Linked DNA regions of Caenorhabditis elegans. The protein of the gene in region 2 interacts with the protein of the main gene of each other region in a pairwise test. Each region holds a gene or a part of one and is shown on either strand. Other genes may lie near its edges. The genes, in order: tbx-38 and ceh-51.

Region 1 (4,652 bases), on a different chromosome or scaffold from region 2:
TGAGCCTAGGTCTAAGCCTAATACTAGGACCACTTTCTAAATAAATTCCAAAATTTTCAGGTAGCAATTTTAATTCCTCCATACGACTTCCCTACAGTAACCCTGAACACGGAAAGATCGTATCCCAACTATCACCTATTAGATACTTTCGGCGAATATGGAGGCTTCAAGTCGACAACTCGGCTGGTTTATCTTATCAATACCACAATTCTCATGGGAATTCCCTACATGATGCCCGTTTTCATTCTGTACTGGAGACATCAGATCTTCAATCAAATCAACGAAGTTCAGACACATTTGAGTGAACGAACCAAGAAATCGTCGTTGGATTTGGTGAGGGTGAGTGGTAGGAGTAGGCTTGCCTGCCTAGTAGGTAGGCAAACAAGCAGGCAACTTTCCAATTTTTCCAGGCACTCACAATGCAGGCAATGTTCCCGATGGTATGCCTTCTTCCCAATGTTGCATACTTCCTTGTGGCGCAGGTGAGATAGGCAGGCAGGCAGGCACGCCTAGCCCATTGAAAAATTTCCAGCGAATCCACATCGAGTTCGAGATTGCCGAGTTCGTGCCGTTTCCAACCTGCGTCATCCCGTGCCTCATCGATCCGATTCTAACGATCTACTACGTTGCACCATATAGGAGTTTTGTGACGCGGCGGCAGAGAAGTGTCTCGATTGGGGTGACGTTGTCCGTGGCGCAGTCTTCCGCGAGGACTATTTGATTTTTTTTAAATATTAATAAAGTTTATTTCAATTGTTATTTATGAGACACATAAATAGTAATCCAGGAGATCAGTGCAGTACAATATTCAAAGGGGGAGAAAGGCAATAGGTAGGGGGTATAAAAATATTACAAAAAATTCACAAACTTTGGAATTCATTTTTGAGCTCTTGTGGTTGTCCTGGCATCATCATTTGCTGCTGTTGCCACCAAAACTCGTATTGTTTTTGATAATACATATTCCAAGCTAATTGAGCATTATTTTGAACTTCGAAATTGTAATTCTGAGCACTTGCAAACTGTGGCTGGTAGTTCTGCGGAGCCACAAAATTCTGGTTGAAATAATACGGGGTTTGCTGTGGGAGATCTATTTGCGGTGAGATTGTCGGTGGGGTTACCAATTTGCTGCGTTTGGGCGGAGAGTTTTCAGAATTTTCAGAGTCTGAAGAAAGCCGTCTCTTGCCATTCGAACGAAATCCGGATGCAAATTTATTGTGATGAACCTTGAGGTTTTTGAGGATTTCGTTCTGGAAAAGGGTACAATTTTGTAGAGAATATATGTATGTAGTTGGTGAAAAATTTCTAGTTGTGGGTAATTGAATTTGCTACATTTTTTTATTTTTTAGTTGACAAAATTTTAATAGCGTAGTTTCAATCCGGCACTTAATGAAAACTTAATGCTTTTTCCGAAATTGCCATGCCGAATAAATTTACCGAATTTGACGTGCTCGACAAATATTTTGAAAAAGTCGATTTGCGGCCTAAGCTTAAGCCTAAGACTAAGCCTAAGCCTAAGCCTAAGCCTAAGCCTAAGCCTAAGCCTAAGCCTAAGCCCAAGCCCAAGCCCAAGCCTAGGGCTAATCAGTGATGGGCAGCGAACATGCTTTCTTGGCGAACGACGAATTCGGCAAATTTGTCTATGCAGTTTTTTAAGTTTTCCAGGTTTTTTCTGAAGGTTTTTTCCTGTATAATGGCGTAAGCCTAAGCCTAAGTCTAAGCCTAAGCCTGAGCCTAATCCTAAGCCTAAGCTTAAGCTTCAGCAAATGGCAACTTTCGGCAAGTTTTTCAGTATTTTTTTAATTTTGAATTAGATGCTTTCTATATGTCTACATTTATTTTTGATTTGAAAAGTTGGAATAGCGCTTCGAAATTTACAGTTTTGGAAACTTGAAAATATGCTCTCCAACTTTAAACTACTTCATCTCCGTTGATAGTGACGCGATTAAAATGTTTTCAACTTTTTTCAACAAATTGTTGCAAATTTAATTTCCCACACCCTTTCAAATAACTAACCTGATAAGCAGTGACCACCATAAATTCAGTAGCCTCCAACCGGAACTGCTCCCCACTAAAATCCTCTTGATACCCTGTCTTATAATGTCGGACCTGTTTAACAGTGACCACTGGAATGTGCTTATGCATACTCTGCACTAAAATGACCTTCTGATCCTTGATTTCCGGGTTATTCGTGATTTTGATGTGAGCAAACGAGACGGGCTCACTCATCCATTCTGCTCCAGTACGCTTGCCACGCGGATGCTCCTTGTATTGGATTGGAAGAATCGGATCTCCTTTGGCGAATTCTTTCCATTCTCCTGCGTCGAATTTGTATCTGGAAATGAGTTCAAGTTTTTGAAATTGGAATCGTCCTATAGGTTATAACTCTGAAAGTATACCAGCTATCAAAAAGTTGTCAATTTAGAAATTGTAGCAAATTTAATTTTCTACAATTTACCAGTTGAAAATTTTTTTCTATCTTTTAACCCAACTCACTTAATCCCGTCAACACGTTCCAAATGAATATAAATCGAGTAGAGACTGCCTGGATCCAATCCCTTGATGATATAGTCCAAATGCGGAAAAATCACCCTTCCACGGTTTCTCGTCACAATCATTTCGGTTTTCGGGTAGAACTCTTCCCAAATTTCTGGTGTGCTCAAGGAGACTTTAATTCCGGATGGGGAGGTGCACGAGTACATGGTAATGCTGTAACAGGGGGAGTTATAGGAGTAACAGAAGCACAAAAAAGTGAGACCGGAAGTAGAGCAACAAAAATCTAATTGTAATAAAAGTGCTAACCACTCTCACTAATTCTGTAAAACTGAGCCGGTAAGTGGGCGGAGCCGGAAGGGGCTGGGCCACACGTAGGGGTGGACACGTGGCAAGTGGAGCACAACTTGGCACATATGAGCGTGTGGCCATGGGAGATGTAGCGCACGGCGGCCTTGGGTGCAGGCTTAGGCTTAGTCTTTAGGTTTAGTCTTAGGCTTAGTCTTTAGGTTTAGGTTTAGGCTTAGACATAGACATAGGCTTATGCTCAGGCTTAGGCTTAGAGTTATGCCTAGGCTTAGGTTTAGGCTCAGTCAGGCTTCTGCTTGGGCTTAGGCTTACAATTAGGCTTAGGCTTACACCTTTGAACAAGAAAAAACCTTCAGAGAAAACCTGGAAAACTGGAAAAACTGCATAGGCAAAGTCGCCGAATTCGCCGTTCACCAAGAAAGCCTGTTCGCCGCCCATCCCTTATTAGGCTTAGGCTCAAGCTAAGGCTTAGGCTTAGGCTCAGGCTTAAGCTTAGACCTCAGCTCAGGCTCAGGTTTAGGCTAAAGCATAGGCTTAGGCTTTTTGAATTCACACCAATATAATAATGACCTAGAAGGATCACACGCGAAGTATATCCAAAATAACTGTAAAATCGGAACACTCATTAAACTGCGAGCCAATGTTGGTGTCTGATTCTTGAACACCTCTTCCTCCAACTGAGCATCTCTATGGTCTTCAGCAATCTAGAATGTGTAGTTCACACTTCAAAAGTATACCTCCACCCACACCTTGACACCTCACACTCTAGTGATAGCGGTGCGCAGTTTTGAATTGGCTCGGAAGGAGAAGATGTGTCGGGCTCAGCGGGAGGGCTGGTGCATTTTGAAATTGGTTAGAAACACAAGAAATTGATTATAAAAATAATTTTATATTTTGTTTTTCATACATTTTTCAATAGCTTCATACTTAAACGTTACTATTAAATGTACATTTCTTCCAGTAATTTTTACTGCAAATATGAGATTTTTCAAGTAATAATAACGGTTCAAAAACGGTTCGAAACACTTGGCAAAATACTTTATAGCAAAGTATAAGCGGCACATGTCTTTGAGCCGTAACACAACTCTCTGCCATGTATGGTACGCCACGTGGTTTGGAAAACGAAAGACACACGATATTGTGGGAAACTTGGAGGACATCTGGAAAATTAAAGAAAAAAACAATATCGATTAGGAATTTAGGAATAGTTGGAAAACGATTTACAAACTTTTTGATAGCTTTGATAACAATTTAATCACGAAAATTATAATAAAAAATTATTGAAAAAAATTTACAAAAAAAAAAAGAAATTTTTCGCGTCAAAAACAAAAAAAAAAAAAAAACGCTATAAAAAAGTTGTCAACTATCAAAATGTAGAACATAAAATTTACAATTTTTGGATAGTTTACAACTTTAATAACAATTTAGTTACGCAAGTTTAAAACAATTTAAAAATGTTCGCGTCAAAAATAAAAACAATTGTTATCGCAATGGTCAATCAATAAATCATCAAAATCAATAAATCAATAGAAAGAAAATAAATTCATTAATTGATAATTCACACTTCAAAGGGATCAATTTGAATTGAAAACGAAATGAGTTCAAATTCTTCGAATTCTTCAAATCCTGCTGCAACAGATGCTCCAAAGGTAAGTGGAAATTCAGATGATTCTTTAAAATGCCTCTACCTTTTCAGAAAACTTCCGTTGAACCGGGTTCGGAAGCCAACAATTGGCATATCACGGAGGCCGATGAGAAGGGATTCAAGTTGACCGATATGATCAAGAAACTTCTGAAGCCTGTATTCTCGAAAGCCATTATGTTTGATGTAAGTAAAGGAGACTCTATACCGG
Region 2 (4,199 bases):
TAAAACTTCCTGAAAACTTCTTTAAAAAAAGTTATGACGGCTCAAAAAATGGCCTATAATTCGTTAAAATTTGAATTTGACCGACTTGTCAATGCCGCAGCGACTGGAAACATTTTTTTTTGAAATCATCGTTAAATTTTGAGTTTACAGCATGATTATCTTGAGTTTTCAACTCCATTTAGGTATTTTAAAATCGATGGACGAAGAGATTTTTAAATTTTTAAAACCAAATCTCGCCGTAGTCCATGGACTTTAAAATACCTAAATGAAGTTGAAAACGCAAGATAATTACATTGTATACTCAAAATTTGACGGTGATTTCAAAAAAAAAATTGCCTTCAGCCGTTACGACATTGACAAGTCGTCGGTCAAATTTGAAATTTTAACGAATTTTTGGCCATTTTTTGAGCCGTCATAATTTTTTTTTGAGAAGTTTTCAAAAAAGTTTCATTATGAAATTCTGTGTTTTCAGACAATTTTGAGTCTAATGAAGCAATAAAAAAAATCGACTACACCGCCTATAATACACATGCTCGGAGAGTTGTAAATTTGAGACAAAAATTTTGAAGTTGTGGAATTTCTACTAATTTTGATGTTCTAAAAGGTTCAAAAACACTGAAAATTCAAATTTCGCGGTTTTTTTTCTTCAATTCAATCGAACATCGTTTATTGGGGGCACACAATAATACAAGTGACAAAAAGCTACACAAATCAAGAAATAACATGCTTCTGGTCCTCCTCCGCCTCCTCCTTCGCCGATTTCTGTTGCTGCACAGCGTCCTGCTTGATCTGCTTGTATTTCTCCTTTCTCAACTTGAATCTCCGATTCTGAAACCAAATCTTGATCTGCTCGGGCGAAAGTCCGATGACTGCTCCCAACTTCCGTCGCTCGTCAACCTTTATTGTGTCGCACTGCTCAAATCTGGTTCTCAACGCGTAAAGCTGAGAATCGGAGAACGGAGTTCGAGCGCCTCTCCGCTTTTCTGAAGGAGCTCTTGGATGCTGCTGATGCTGATGATGTAGAAAAGACGGCGGTGGTGGGATGAAGCCAGCGTGATGAGCCACCATAGGATGAGGAAACGAGGATGGGGAGAGTTGTGAGTACTGCTGCTGGAACCAGGCGAAGCATTGAGCTTGGTAGGCTTGAGCATGGGCTTGAACTCTGTAAAAAAAAAGGAATTTTCGGAAGAAAAGCGATCACGGAGATGAATTTTGTTGCAAATAAGCAGTGATCAAATTTTCCAAATAGGGATTTTTGCCGCTGTAAATTTAACATGCCAAAAAGAAGCTACCAAATTTGCCCAATTTGTGGCAATTGGACTTCTTGGAGCTGTTAATTTCAAAAAAAGCAGCTACCAAAATTGCCTAAATTTGGAATTTTGGCCACTGCTAATTGCGAAGAAGAAGCTTCGAAAATTGTTCAAAATTGAAATTTTTGAAAACAGTTAATTGCAAAAAAAGTAGCAAACAAAATTTCCTGAATTGGATTGTTAAGAGCTCTTAATTGCATAGAAGCAGCTACGAAAATAGTTCAGAATGGACTTTTCGACACTGCTAATTGCAGGAAAACAGCTACCAAAATTGCATAAATTTGGAATTTTTGGAGCTTTTAATTGCAAAAAAGCAGCTACCGAAATAGTTCAAATTGGAATTTTCGACATTGCTAGTTGCAATAAATCTACCAAATTTGCCCAATTTGTGCAAATTGGACTTCTTGGAGCTGTTAATTGCAAAAAAAGCAGCTGCTACCAAAATTGCCTAAATTTGGAATTTTGGCCACTGTTAATTGCAAAAAAGCAGCTACCAAATTTGCCCAATTTGTGCAAATTGGACTTTTCGACACTGTTAATTGCAAAATTGCAGCTACCAAAATAGTTCAAATTGGAATTTTTAGAGCTGTTAATTGCAACAAAGCAGCTAACAAAGTTTTTTTTTGCTAAAAATGCCCGTTCGCGGCCATATAGTGTGAAAAAGCTATATTTTGAGTAATTTCCCACTGTCAAAACTTATGGGGTTATTCAAGAAATGTTACTTGCAAAATGTATTTAAATACATGTTTTTAAATGTATTTTAATACAGTTGTGACGTAATTTTTCTACACTTTTTAATTTTCCGACGCTAATTGAATAACCCCATTAAAATTAGCGGTTCTTCACGCATTTCGGTAGAAAAACGTAGTGAAAATCACTCTAAAACGCCCGTTTTGTACTGAAAAGTATCGAAAAAACTTACAACATATCATTCCCATTATGAGCCAGCTGTTGTTGATAGTAAAGCTGATTGGGATCCGCCACGTAGCACGGTGATGGAGCCTGATAGGCCGCCGGATAGGCTGGCGATGAGCTCATTGAGCCCGGAGAGCTGCTTGGCATTGTGGAATATTCCATTACAGTAGCATTAGTAATAGCAGAAGTTGAATTAAGATTCGAAGAAGACAAAGGATAATAGTCACCGCCGTTATTAATATTATAGTTGGATGATGACATTTTGTGTGGAATGAATTGGGGGAATTATAGTGGCTATTCTCCAGCTGGGGAGGCTGTAAATCTAGGCGGAGCATTGCTGCCTAGGTAGGCGGGGAGGCGAGAAGGTGCGATTTTGTTTGGCGGGAGACATGACCGGGAAAAGGTGACACCGGAGAGGTGAGATACCTGGGAATTGGGTGAGATTTTCCGGCTGTTCTTCAGAATTGTCTGAAAATCTGGAAAAATGTGAAGTTTTTCCACGGAAAAGCGAATTTTCGATTGATTCTTGTAGTTTTTCGTACAAATCGGACAATGCCAAAATTTGGCAGTTTTGGTACTTTGTGTTGGATTACGGTAGAAATTTTGGTCTGAAAAGCTTATTTTTAAGCCAATTTCAGTCAAAAACTGCAGTTCCGGCAATTCGGCAAAAACTTGCCGGAATTAAAAATTTCCGGCAAATTTGCAAGTTGCCGGAATTGAAAATTTCTGGCAAATCGACAAATTGCTGGAATTTGAAATTTCCTGCAAACCGGCGGAATTAAAAATTTCTGGCAAATCGGCAAACTGGCAAACTGCCGGAATTGAAAATTTCTGGCAAAATGGGCGATTTGCCGGAATTGAAAATTTCCGGCAAATCGGCAAATTGGCGGAATTGAAAATTTCCGGCAAATTGTCGGAACTGAAAATTTCTGGCAAAATGGGCAATTTGCCGGAATTGAAAATTTCCTGCAAACCGGCAAAAATTTGCCGGAATTTAAAATTTCTGGCAAATTGCCGGAACTGAAAATTTCCTTCAAACCGGCACATTGCCGGAATTGAACATTTCCGGCAAACGGGTAAAAACTTGCCGGAATTCGCCGAATTTTCCGAACAACAATTGCCCGCCTACTTAAAACTTTTAAAAAAGCAAAAAAGAAAAAAACAACTGACATAAAAATTATCTGATCAATAAGATATTGGAAAAAATGTTGAAAATTGCAAAAAAATATATCGAATCTAGGCATATAGTGCTCCCTAAACTACAACCTACAACAAATTTCAAATAAAATATACAAAATTTTGCAAAAAAAAGAAAAAATATAATTAAAATTCAAATTTCGAAATGTTAAATTTGAAAATTTTAGAGTTTTTCGACGAAATTACAACAAAAACACTCTGAAAATTATAAAAATCCTGGATTTTTTCAGGTGAAAGAGGCAAAAATCATCGCAATGACTTGTACACACGCGGCTCTCCGTCGAAATGAGCTCGTGAAGCTCGGCTTCCGCTACGATAATATCGTAATGGAAGAAGCCGCTCAAATTCTTGAAGTTGAAACATTTATCCCATTGTTACTACAAAATCCACAAGACGGACACAATCGACTGAAACGATGGATTATGATTGGAGATCATCATCAGCTGCCGCCAGTTGTACAGAATCAGGCATTCCAGAAATATTCGAATATGGAACAATCGTTATTTGCGAGATTAGTCAGGCTTAGTGTACCAAATGTGCAGTTGGATCGACAGGGAAGAGCCAGGGCTCAGTGCGTGTTTTTTTTTGGGGAATTCTTGAGAAATTCTACGTGAAAATTAAGAATTTTACGGTTGAATTTACCGAAAAACGATTTTTCGTGCGAAATTGGCAAATTTTCATATGAAAATTGCAACTTTTCACAAGAAAAATTTGGCATTTGAGCTCAATTTGCTGAAATTCAGATTTTTTTCGGAAAATTGGCGAATTTCTAAGTGA

Evidence for each region.
Region 1: the proteins of ceh-51 (region 2) and tbx-38 interact in a two-hybrid assay, tested with the Caenorhabditis elegans proteins (one large-scale study listed by BioGRID).

The regions. Positions count from the first base shown.
Region 1 is NC_003281.10:11,783,354-11,788,005, forward strand, and holds tbx-38 (T-box protein 38), read right to left. Parts: upstream 2,709-4,652; 5' UTR 2,700-2,708; coding exon 2,494-2,699; intron 2,472-2,493; exon of another isoform or gene 2,392-2,471; intron 2,333-2,391; coding exon 2,014-2,332; intron 1,248-2,013; coding exon 861-1,247; 3' UTR 729-860; downstream 1-728. Other genes in the region: srd-74 (Serpentine Receptor, class D (delta)), read left to right, coding at 61-339, 411-482, 533-721; C24H11.1 (Serine/threonine-protein phosphatase), read left to right, coding at 4,395-4,448, 4,496-4,627. UniProt on the Caenorhabditis elegans protein: Transcription factor. Required for mesodermal induction, acting redundantly with transcription factor tbx-37. Together with tbx-37, acts by inducing cell fates in the AB lineage, thereby playing a role in development of the anterior pharynx.
Region 2 is NC_003283.11:18,872,420-18,876,618, reverse strand, and holds ceh-51 (Homeobox protein ceh-51), read right to left. Parts: upstream 2,487-4,199; coding exon 2,233-2,486; intron 1,163-2,232; coding exon 712-1,162; 3' UTR 637-711; downstream 1-636. Other genes in the region: emb-4 (Intron-binding protein aquarius), read left to right, coding at 3,653-3,993. UniProt on the Caenorhabditis elegans protein: Required for mesoderm development, including specification of muscle and coelomocyte precursors.